2 linked regions of the Oryctolagus cuniculus genome follow. The protein of the gene in region 1 binds, or shares a complex with, the protein of each later gene. Links are inferred from orthologs where the notes say so. Each region holds a gene or a part of one and is shown in the gene's direction. Other genes may lie near its edges. The genes, in order: CLTC and GTSE1.

What was found.
Region 2: the proteins of CLTC (region 1) and GTSE1 are in contact, whole or in part, in a crystal structure (PDB 6QNP), measured with the Homo sapiens proteins. The link is inferred for Oryctolagus cuniculus from reciprocal best matches to the Homo sapiens genes CLTC and GTSE1. Residues at the interface, in NP_004850.1 of Homo sapiens: Val50, Arg64, Pro65, Ile66, Ser67, Ala68, Leu82, Lys83, Ala84, Thr87, Gln89, Phe91, Asn92, Ile93, Lys96, Ser97, Lys98, Asp143, Arg144, His145, Trp164, Gln182, Leu183, Tyr184, Ser185, Arg188, Lys189, Val190, Ser191, Gln192; in NP_057510.5 of Homo sapiens: Ser686, Arg687, Pro688, Leu689, Ile690, Asp691, Leu692, Met693, Ser707, Pro708, Val709, Val710, Gly711, Gln712, Leu713, Ile714, Asp715, Leu716, Ser718.

The regions. Positions count from the first base shown.
Region 1 is NC_091448.1:34,909,848-34,914,361, forward strand, and holds the start of CLTC (clathrin heavy chain 1), read left to right. Parts: upstream 1-1,616; 5' UTR 1,617-2,088; coding exon 2,089-2,130; intron 2,131-4,514. UniProt on the Homo sapiens protein: Clathrin is the major protein of the polyhedral coat of coated pits and vesicles. Two different adapter protein complexes link the clathrin lattice either to the plasma membrane or to the trans-Golgi network.
Region 2 is NC_091442.1:120,893,671-120,897,473, forward strand, and holds part of GTSE1 (G2 and S phase-expressed protein 1), read left to right. Parts: coding exon 1-333; intron 334-1,784; coding exon 1,785-1,857; intron 1,858-3,803. UniProt on the Homo sapiens protein: May be involved in p53-induced cell cycle arrest in G2/M phase by interfering with microtubule rearrangements that are required to enter mitosis. Overexpression delays G2/M phase progression.

The DNA.
Region 1 (4,514 bases):
TCAATTGCTTTTAGGATTCTAAATGTACTTACAATTACATGGTTTGTATGAAAATGCAAGACATTTACTAATAATTAAATATTGGTGGCCCATTCATAATATAGCTCTTGTATCTCAGACTGAGATTGAAAATGTAACCTGATTAAGCATCTGCAGTACTGTAATAAAACAATAACTCCTTTAGAATTTTTTAGAATTTGTCTCTTTCCAAAAAGGGTTTGAAGCAGCTACAATGAGACTGCTATTCAAATGCTGCAGAATCAAGTATCTGGCTTAATACAAGAGGAAAATTTTCAAGCATAGGAAGCCCCTCTTACAACATGGTGGCAAAGGCTTATTCTTTGCAGAACGATTTCTGGCTGCCCTGTTACCTGCCAGATTCTAGCCTCAGCATGGGAGGCAGTATTTTGGGAAAAGCACGAAAGCAACTGAAATGATTAAGCACATTTCTCACTCTAGGCAAAAACTGCTTCACACACAAAAAATTCCGCACCCGATAGGGCTGTGTGTTCCTTAATCGAAAAGGGCACAACAAATAATTATCGTGGACTTGAGTATTTTTCTCAAGGTCTTTCTGAGGGGGGAAAAATCGCATCTCTTTAAAGATGGAAAGCACGGGACTAAACTCTTCTTTATTGTACTGGGGCTGAACTGTTGCAGCTTAGACTTCGGTTGTCAGTCGATAATGAATGCCGCAGATACCTTAAAGCTGTCAGAAGACACGGTGCTCGGGCTTCCAAGCGCTCCTGTCCCCCTCTGCTAACCTGCCAGGCAAGGGCGAGGCGATCGCTCCGAGAGACGCGGCTAACACTTAATCCTCGTCCTCCGGGGAGGACCTTCAGGTTTTACCGACCACTCGGGGCGGAATTAGCTAAATCTTTGAGACGAAGTATTTGCCGTGGCTACAATGTCCTGCTCCAGTTCTGCTCGAACCCTTCAGGGTTATGTATGAGAACGCAAATTCTCTAGCACCACATACACGGAGTAGTAAGCTAGGCCGATCCGAGTCCGCCAAAATGTCCGCAGAAGTGGCGAGAACAGGCGAGCCTGAGGCATCTCACACTCGGCCCTCACTGTCCTTGGGCCTAAGGAACACCTGACGCGAGCGCCGCTTCCAGTCAGGAGTGCGCGCCTCGGGGTCGCCCCCCGTCAGCAGGCAGCGCGCAAGGGCGGCGAGGGCTTCCGACGCGGCCTCTGCGCCCCCTCCCCGGGCGGGGAGCAGCCGCCCACCGCCTCAAGGCGGGCGGGGGAGGCGGGCTGCAGCCAGCTGCCGGCGAGCGCAGCGGCGGCGCCGTTTCGCCGAGTCACCGGGCGGGCGGGCGGCTGGTCCCGTGTGCCCACGCCACGTCCTCTCCGCCAGGGACGCGGTCCAAACAGGGGACGCAGGGGCAAAGAAACGGCAGCCGCCGCGCCTCAAGGTGGCCCAACGGGCACCTCACTCCCAGGAGACGCCGCATTCTCCTAGAACTTGCGCCCCATTCTGGCAGCGTCAGCCGACCCTTCCCTACCAGCATCACGTGCACCTGGAAGTACGTGGGTGGGACCCAAAGCGCCTACGGAAATGACGTAGGTCGCCCCGAGTCGCATGATGTGGCAAAATGCAAAAAAAAAAAAAAAGGAAGGGGGGGAGGGAAAAGCAGAAGCCTGGAGAAAGTGATGAGTCTAGAAAAGTAGTCCCTGCTGTTCCTCTATTTCCCCGGTGTCGCATCAGGAAGCGAGGCCCCCAGCGCACTGCGCCCCGAATCCCTGCGCCTGGCCGCGGCGCGGCGCTCCGTGGAGGGGTACATAAGGCGGAGGGGGGGTGAGGCGACGGGGCGGAGTTTTGTCGCCGGGATCCTTCCGCAGGGCTCAGCCGTTTCCGGAGTCTGCGCTGCGCCCGGTTCCGCCATTGCGGCTCTCCTGGCCCCTGGAGCCTCCGCCCCCGACCCGAGCTCTCTCGTCTGCCTGCCAGTTTCCTGCGTCCCCGGAGAGTATCCTGCCGAGCCCAGCCTCCCCCCTCCCCTTCTCCTCCTCTCCCTTCGGAGAGCCCGGGCAGCCACTGCCCCGAAGCCCCAGTGACAGGAGGAGACTCTACCCCCCGACAGCGCCATGGCCCAGATTCTTCCAATTCGTTTTCAGGAGCATCTCCAGGTGCGGCTAGATCTGGGCTGCTGCGGGCTGTGGTGACGGTGGTAGGAAGGAAGAAGCTACGGTCTGGGCCGGAGCAGGAAGGGAGGGGTGTCGGTGTTTGGCGTAGGTGGAGGAAGGGGCGCTATCTTGGAAAGCTTAAAGGGTTAAAGGATATGGGGCTTGGGTGGAAAGGACGAGAGTTGGGGTGTAAAGGCCGGCAAGCCAGGCCTGACTCTGAGGGCCTTTCTGTCTTGCTTCCTGGAAGGCAAGAACTGCGCGTGTTATCCCCCCTCCCCTTCCCGTTTTATTCAGTTCATTCATTTGGATAGGGGAGTGGGAGAGGGGAATTCTCCCGAGTTTCTTCCGGCCGGAGCAAGCATTCTCATCATCCCCTGGGCCAGTGCAGGGCTGTCACCCTCCACTGCCCATCTCTTCCCTTTCCCCCCATCGTGTCTGCACCCGGGAGTTGCGGGGCGGGTGAGTTGGGGAGGAGCAACCTTTTTTTCTTCCTCCCTCTGCGGCTCTCAACTGAGAAAGGCACCTTTCCGGGGGCGGGGGGTGGGGGTGGCGGCCGTGGCTTGTCCCTTGCCTTCCCCGAGGCAGTAGGAACAGAAGGTCACTGAAGGAATAGAATGGGGGGACGCAGTTTTCAGGGCGCGGTCAGTCTTAGAGTGCGTGGGGTCAAGGTCCCTGGGGAACTCGCTTGGTTTTCCTTTCTTGATTTCTTTGGGGGTGGTGTGGCTCTTAAATCCTTTTGAGTTCAGAACGTAGCAAAGTGTTACCTAGAGGTTATCTGGGGGGGGGGGGGTCCTCAGGAGTCCATCCGGTGGTTGTGAAATGTGTGGCTTGAGTGCCTCCGACAGGATCGCATGGAATGGAACAGAGGCCCGGGGTTAAGGACACACCTGCCCTGAGTTGGTCTGTAACTCGTTTCTTCTTGGTAGATTCTAGAGTTCTTCCGTAAGTGCCTTACCCTGGAGGCAACATTCTTACGGTTGTCTCTTTGGGCAGCTTGCCAATGGCTAGCCTAGGCAGGTGATCATTGAAGGGCTTCGCTGAATTAGGCCTCTTTTTGAGCTTCTGATGTCCCTGGTTCACCAATCCTGGATTCTCATCAGGAATAATAAATTAACTTGGTTTCTTCCCGTATGTCCCCTTAAAGAAGCCTGCCCCAGGGCCATCTACGGCAGGACTCACTTCCTAATCCGAGGATGCAGTGGTTTAAAATGAGACTGGTTCTGGTAACCTATGGGATACTTTTCCACGCAAGGAAGTTTTATGTACTTTCCCCCATTGGTGTAACAAAAGAAAGAGTCTTGTCAATAGAACAGTTAATATTCAGGCTACGAGTAAAATAATTACATATTTCTTTACAGGCATCACATTTGCTTGCACTAGCAAGACATTATTTTCCTTTAAGGTTTGAAATGTAAAGAATGCTAAATCTTTAACCCATTAAGTAAGTTAAGTAGTACAGCTTTGTTCAGTCACCCAAAACTCATGTAAAGTAATGGAATATACCTTGGCTATAAAAACAGTTTTATGAAAGGTTAACACATGTTAGGTGTGACAGAACGGGCTTGGAAAAAGTTATTTTTTGTGCTCCATCCAAGTTTAATTACTGTGATTACCTCTGTTAAAAAAGGGGTGGTAAATGAGTGTGGAGGATTAGGAAAGTACTGTTCTTGCATGAGAAGGGGAAACCCAGGCTCTTCCTCGCACTAAAGTACATCTGAAATATCTTTCTGCAGACAAATGTTTGTAATGATAACCCAAGAGAAGCTGGTGTGGCTGCTGTTTATTTTACATGGCACAGCTATAGCCCACTGGTAAATCTTGCTGACCAGTGGTGGTTTGAGTAATCACTTTTCATTTCCATTAAAGAGGAGAGGATTGTTGAGTGATCCTCAAAATTGAATCCAACTGTGTCATTGATTGAAGACAGATTTGATACAGGTGTGGTTTTGAGGTTCTGTTAATACTTGAGTGAAGCCATTTTCTTAATAATTTGAAGATTTTAAGTACAAAGCAGCTTAAGAAGTATAATTGAAAAATTCTATTACTCATTTTTTTGGAGTTCTGTATCATGCTCAAACTTAAGCTTAGCTAATATGACTGTAGACTCCAGTTGATAGTGATTAATTGCACAGAGTTCAAATTACTAAATTTTAATAATATAGCTCTTCATATTTTTATTCCTTCCCTTTTTAAAATAAGGGCTATTTTTTGATTTTTTATTTGAAAGGCAGATTTTCAGAGAGAGCTTTCATCCGCTGGTTCACACCCCAAATGGCCACAAATGCCAAAGTTGTCAGAAGCCGGTTTTTTTTTTTTCTTTTTGACAGGCAGAGTGGACAGTGAGAGAGACAGAGAGAAAGGTCTTCCTTTTTGCCGTTGGTTCACCC
Region 2 (3,803 bases), on another chromosome or scaffold:
CAAGCGTTCCTGCCCACAGCTCCTTGCCTCTGTCAAACACTGGCAAGTTGGGCAGAACAGGCCCCAAGGCACCGCACCAGTCTCTGCCAGCAGCAGGTACCGACATTGCTGAGTGCACCACGGAGCAACCCACAGTGCCCACCACAGCTGCTGCCACCCAGCCCCAGACCCCAGGAGGTAGAGACCCGAGGCTGGACTCTAATTCTATTCTGTCGGAATCATCTCAACTGAATAAAACTGGAAGTATAAGAAGGCGAGATTCCCATCTAAATTCTGCAACAAAGGTTATGCCTACTCCTACAAATCCATTTAAAATTCCTAAGTCTTCTATTGGTAAGTAATAGAGAAATTTTAATGCATTTTTTAAATATTGAAATTTCATTTAAAGCTTTGTGGACCGCAACATGGGTGGGTTGTGTCTTGGCCTTCTGTGTTCTCCCATTGTGCTGGACAAGAAGTGTCGGGGTTCAGTCCTCAAGTGACATGTGCCTACTCTGTGGCTGCAGGAAGGGTTTTATTTCATCATCATTTCCAGTGAATTCTTTATTGTATACTTTTAAAAAAATGTTTACTTATTTTCAACTACTTGAAAGGCAGAGAGAGAGATCTTCCATCCACTGGTTTACTCCCCAGATTTCTATAACAGCCAGGAGCCAGAACTCCATCCGGGTCTCTCACATGGGTGGCAGGAACCCAATCATTTGGGCTGTCGTCCCCTGCTTCCAAGGCACATTAGCAGGAAGTTGGATTGGAAGCGGAGTAGCTGAGACTTGAACCAGCACTCCAGTATGGGATGCAGGCATCCCAAGTTGTTTAACTTGCTGCACCACAACCCAGCTCCTGTTATTATTTGGATGGAGATTTTCTTTGTGTTTATCCTGCTTGGGGTTTCTTGACCTCTTTTGATCTTCAGGTTGATATAGGAGGGGTCCAGAAGTGCAGCGGTTTTGGGGCAGAGGGGACAGCTGCAGGGCAGTGGGCTGGACTCCTTGAAGCACCTACTGAGGAGGGGGCCCTGTGTAGCTGAGGTCAGGGGGCTCCACAGGGTGTGTTTGACTTTGTAAGATGTTGCACTGGGGGCCTGGCCCATGGTGCTTATGGCTGACTTTCGTGCTATTTGGGATGTGCTCAATTGTGAACTGGTTCACGTGGCGCTGTGCTGTAGAGGGCATGGTGGGGACACTGGACGTCTGGAGCCCACTGCAGGTCTTGGCTCAGTGACTGGTGAGCCCGTGCCCTCTGAGCCTGCCTCTCTGCACCTTGTGAGTGTCACATGGGGCCATGCACCCTGAGGTGCTTTGGCAGCCATGAAACAGCACGTGCGCAGTGTAGTGTACTCCTGTCCTGGCAGTGTCACAGAAGGAAGATTAAGGTCTTTGTGGACACTCGGGCTCGCCTGGGAATCCAGCCACATTACAGTGTTGTTTCTGACGTTGGGCGCCCGGGAGTGTGGGAACTGAGTGACAGACAGGCTCCGCTGGAAGGGACTCTCCATGGGAGTTGTGTTGCTTCCTGTCGACTCTTCCCTGTGTCCATCACTGAGAGGCCAGCCTTGCCGTGTCTGGACTCCCTGTGTAGGGCATGCGTGCTGACACTCCTGCTGCTGGCAGGTTCTCCCCACGTGACCTCCTGCCCGGGGTCTGTACTCTGTGGTGCCATCTGCCCTGCAGGTTGGGCACGGGGAGCCATTTCAAGGAGAATTACCCACTTGGTGAGTCCCCAGACAGTGGAGTGCCCCATGACCCACTTGTGGCTGACACACTCGCTTCCTCTCTCGGTCTTAGGTGGTTCCCCGGATGGTACAACACCAAAGTTCTCTCGGACGCAAAGGCCGCAGTCCTGTGTGTCGGCTGGAAGGTAACTGCCGTTGGTCTGCTTCCTTCTCATGTTACTGTGATAACTCCTAAGGTGCCTGCTGACTCCTGAAAGGGCCTCCTTGGGTCTGCTCACTGCTCCCTGGCCTGTGGCCTGACCTTAGCAGTAGCCTTTGGGTGCGGACTGAGCTCCCACTGTAGACCTCAGCCACCCTGAGTCGTCTGCATGGTGTATCGCAGCTCCTTCGGCACTGTTAAAGCTGCCTGTGCCGGGCCCCTCCTGGCCACCTCATTCAGCTGGACTTGTGTGGAGCCCGGGGACTGGATCTTGTAAATGCTTCCAGAAGAACCTACCCTGTGCCTCAGGCGAAGATTCCTGGCATGGGCAGCTTTGCAGACTTAGGTGTGAACCCACATCTCCTGGTCTGTGGTCAGTGCAAGTTACTGAGCATTTCTGACATTGTTTCAGTGGGTGATCCCAAGCAGAGTCAGACAGATAGTACAGGTCGTAAGAAGATGCACACATGGCCGACCCTTCCCCTGACTGTCCCTGCTAAAGACGGAGTGGCACAGGAAACCTCACACCCACAGTCTTAGCCTTAAAGTATCCTGTGTGGAGCTGGGGGTGGAGGCGAAGGAAGGACACTCATGCCCGCTGGAGTCACATGGCCGGGGCGGGACTCTGCTGCGGACTATGCAGGGATGGGATTGGCAGGATAATCACTGGTCTAAGACGCCAGAGAGTTGAACCTCTGGTTCCGCCGTGCACTGCGTGAGCCGTCTGCAAATCTTCCGGGTTTTAATTTCCTCTGCTGGGGTGCACTTCATGGGGTGAGGCCAGATGAGTGCTTTATAGCAGCAGCCACACTGCAGCTGAAGGCATGAACCCAAGCTAGACAGCCCCTTATGCCTCACGTGCCCGCACCTCACTTTCTCGCCTGTGGAAAGGGAAGTTAGCTCCTGCCTCCCAGGCCTACTTTGAGGATTATCCAACATGCTCCACAGTCTGAAACTTTGTGAGTGCCGATGTGATACCAAACCAGAACATTGCACAGCTGACCTCACAGGACAGGTCACGGTCAAAGTGCAGGCAAACTAAAAATAGTATAGAAAATGACTTTCAGGCTGTGGGTAAGGTATGCATGAAACTTAAATGAACTCCATGTTTATACATGGGTCCCATTTGTATGTGCAGATATTCCCTAGCCCCCAAAACTCTGGAAACTGGAGCATTTCTAGTCCCAAAGAGTTGATAAAGGCTCCTCAACCTGTGCTTTTATTTGTTGTCACTGGGGTTTGTGTGGCGCTGCCAGCACTCACGGTGAGGAAGGGGACAGTGATCCAGATCAGCCGCAGCAAAGGCGGGGGTGGGGTGGAGGGTAACTGCCCCTGCTGTCTGTCAGTTACGTGAGTTACTGTCTGTTCAGACTCGTGGGAAGAATGGAAAACTTGCCCTTCTCGAGTGACAGACTCGTCACCTGTACGTCACCCGCGGGCTCCATGCTGAGAGTACATCCTCGACTCGTCTAAGGCAGGGTTTCAGTCCTGAGCTTCCGTAACAAAAACACCACGTCCCGGCTAAAGCAGCAGACATTTATCTCTCACAGCTGTGGCGGCTGAGCGGCAGCCTCGGTGGCTGGTCAGGGCTTCCTGTGGCATACGTGGTGCCTCCTCGTGTCTGCGTGGTGGAAGGGTCAGAATCCCTCCGACATCTTTTGTTGGGCACTGAGTCTATGGTGAGGGCCCTGCCCCTATGACCTAATCACCCAAAGGCTGTCTGCTAACATCATCACCTCAGGGGGTGGGGCTTCAGCATAGGAATGTGGGGGACACAAACATCCAGTCTCCAGCAAATAACAGTCAGCTGGGTGCCGGCTCTTAGTTATCAGCGACAGCCAAACGCAGCGGCAGGCAGGACCTGTTGGTCACGAGGGCTGAGTGCTGCTGAGGACTGCGAGTCACTGGGCAGCCAAGCGCCCAGCTCCTGAC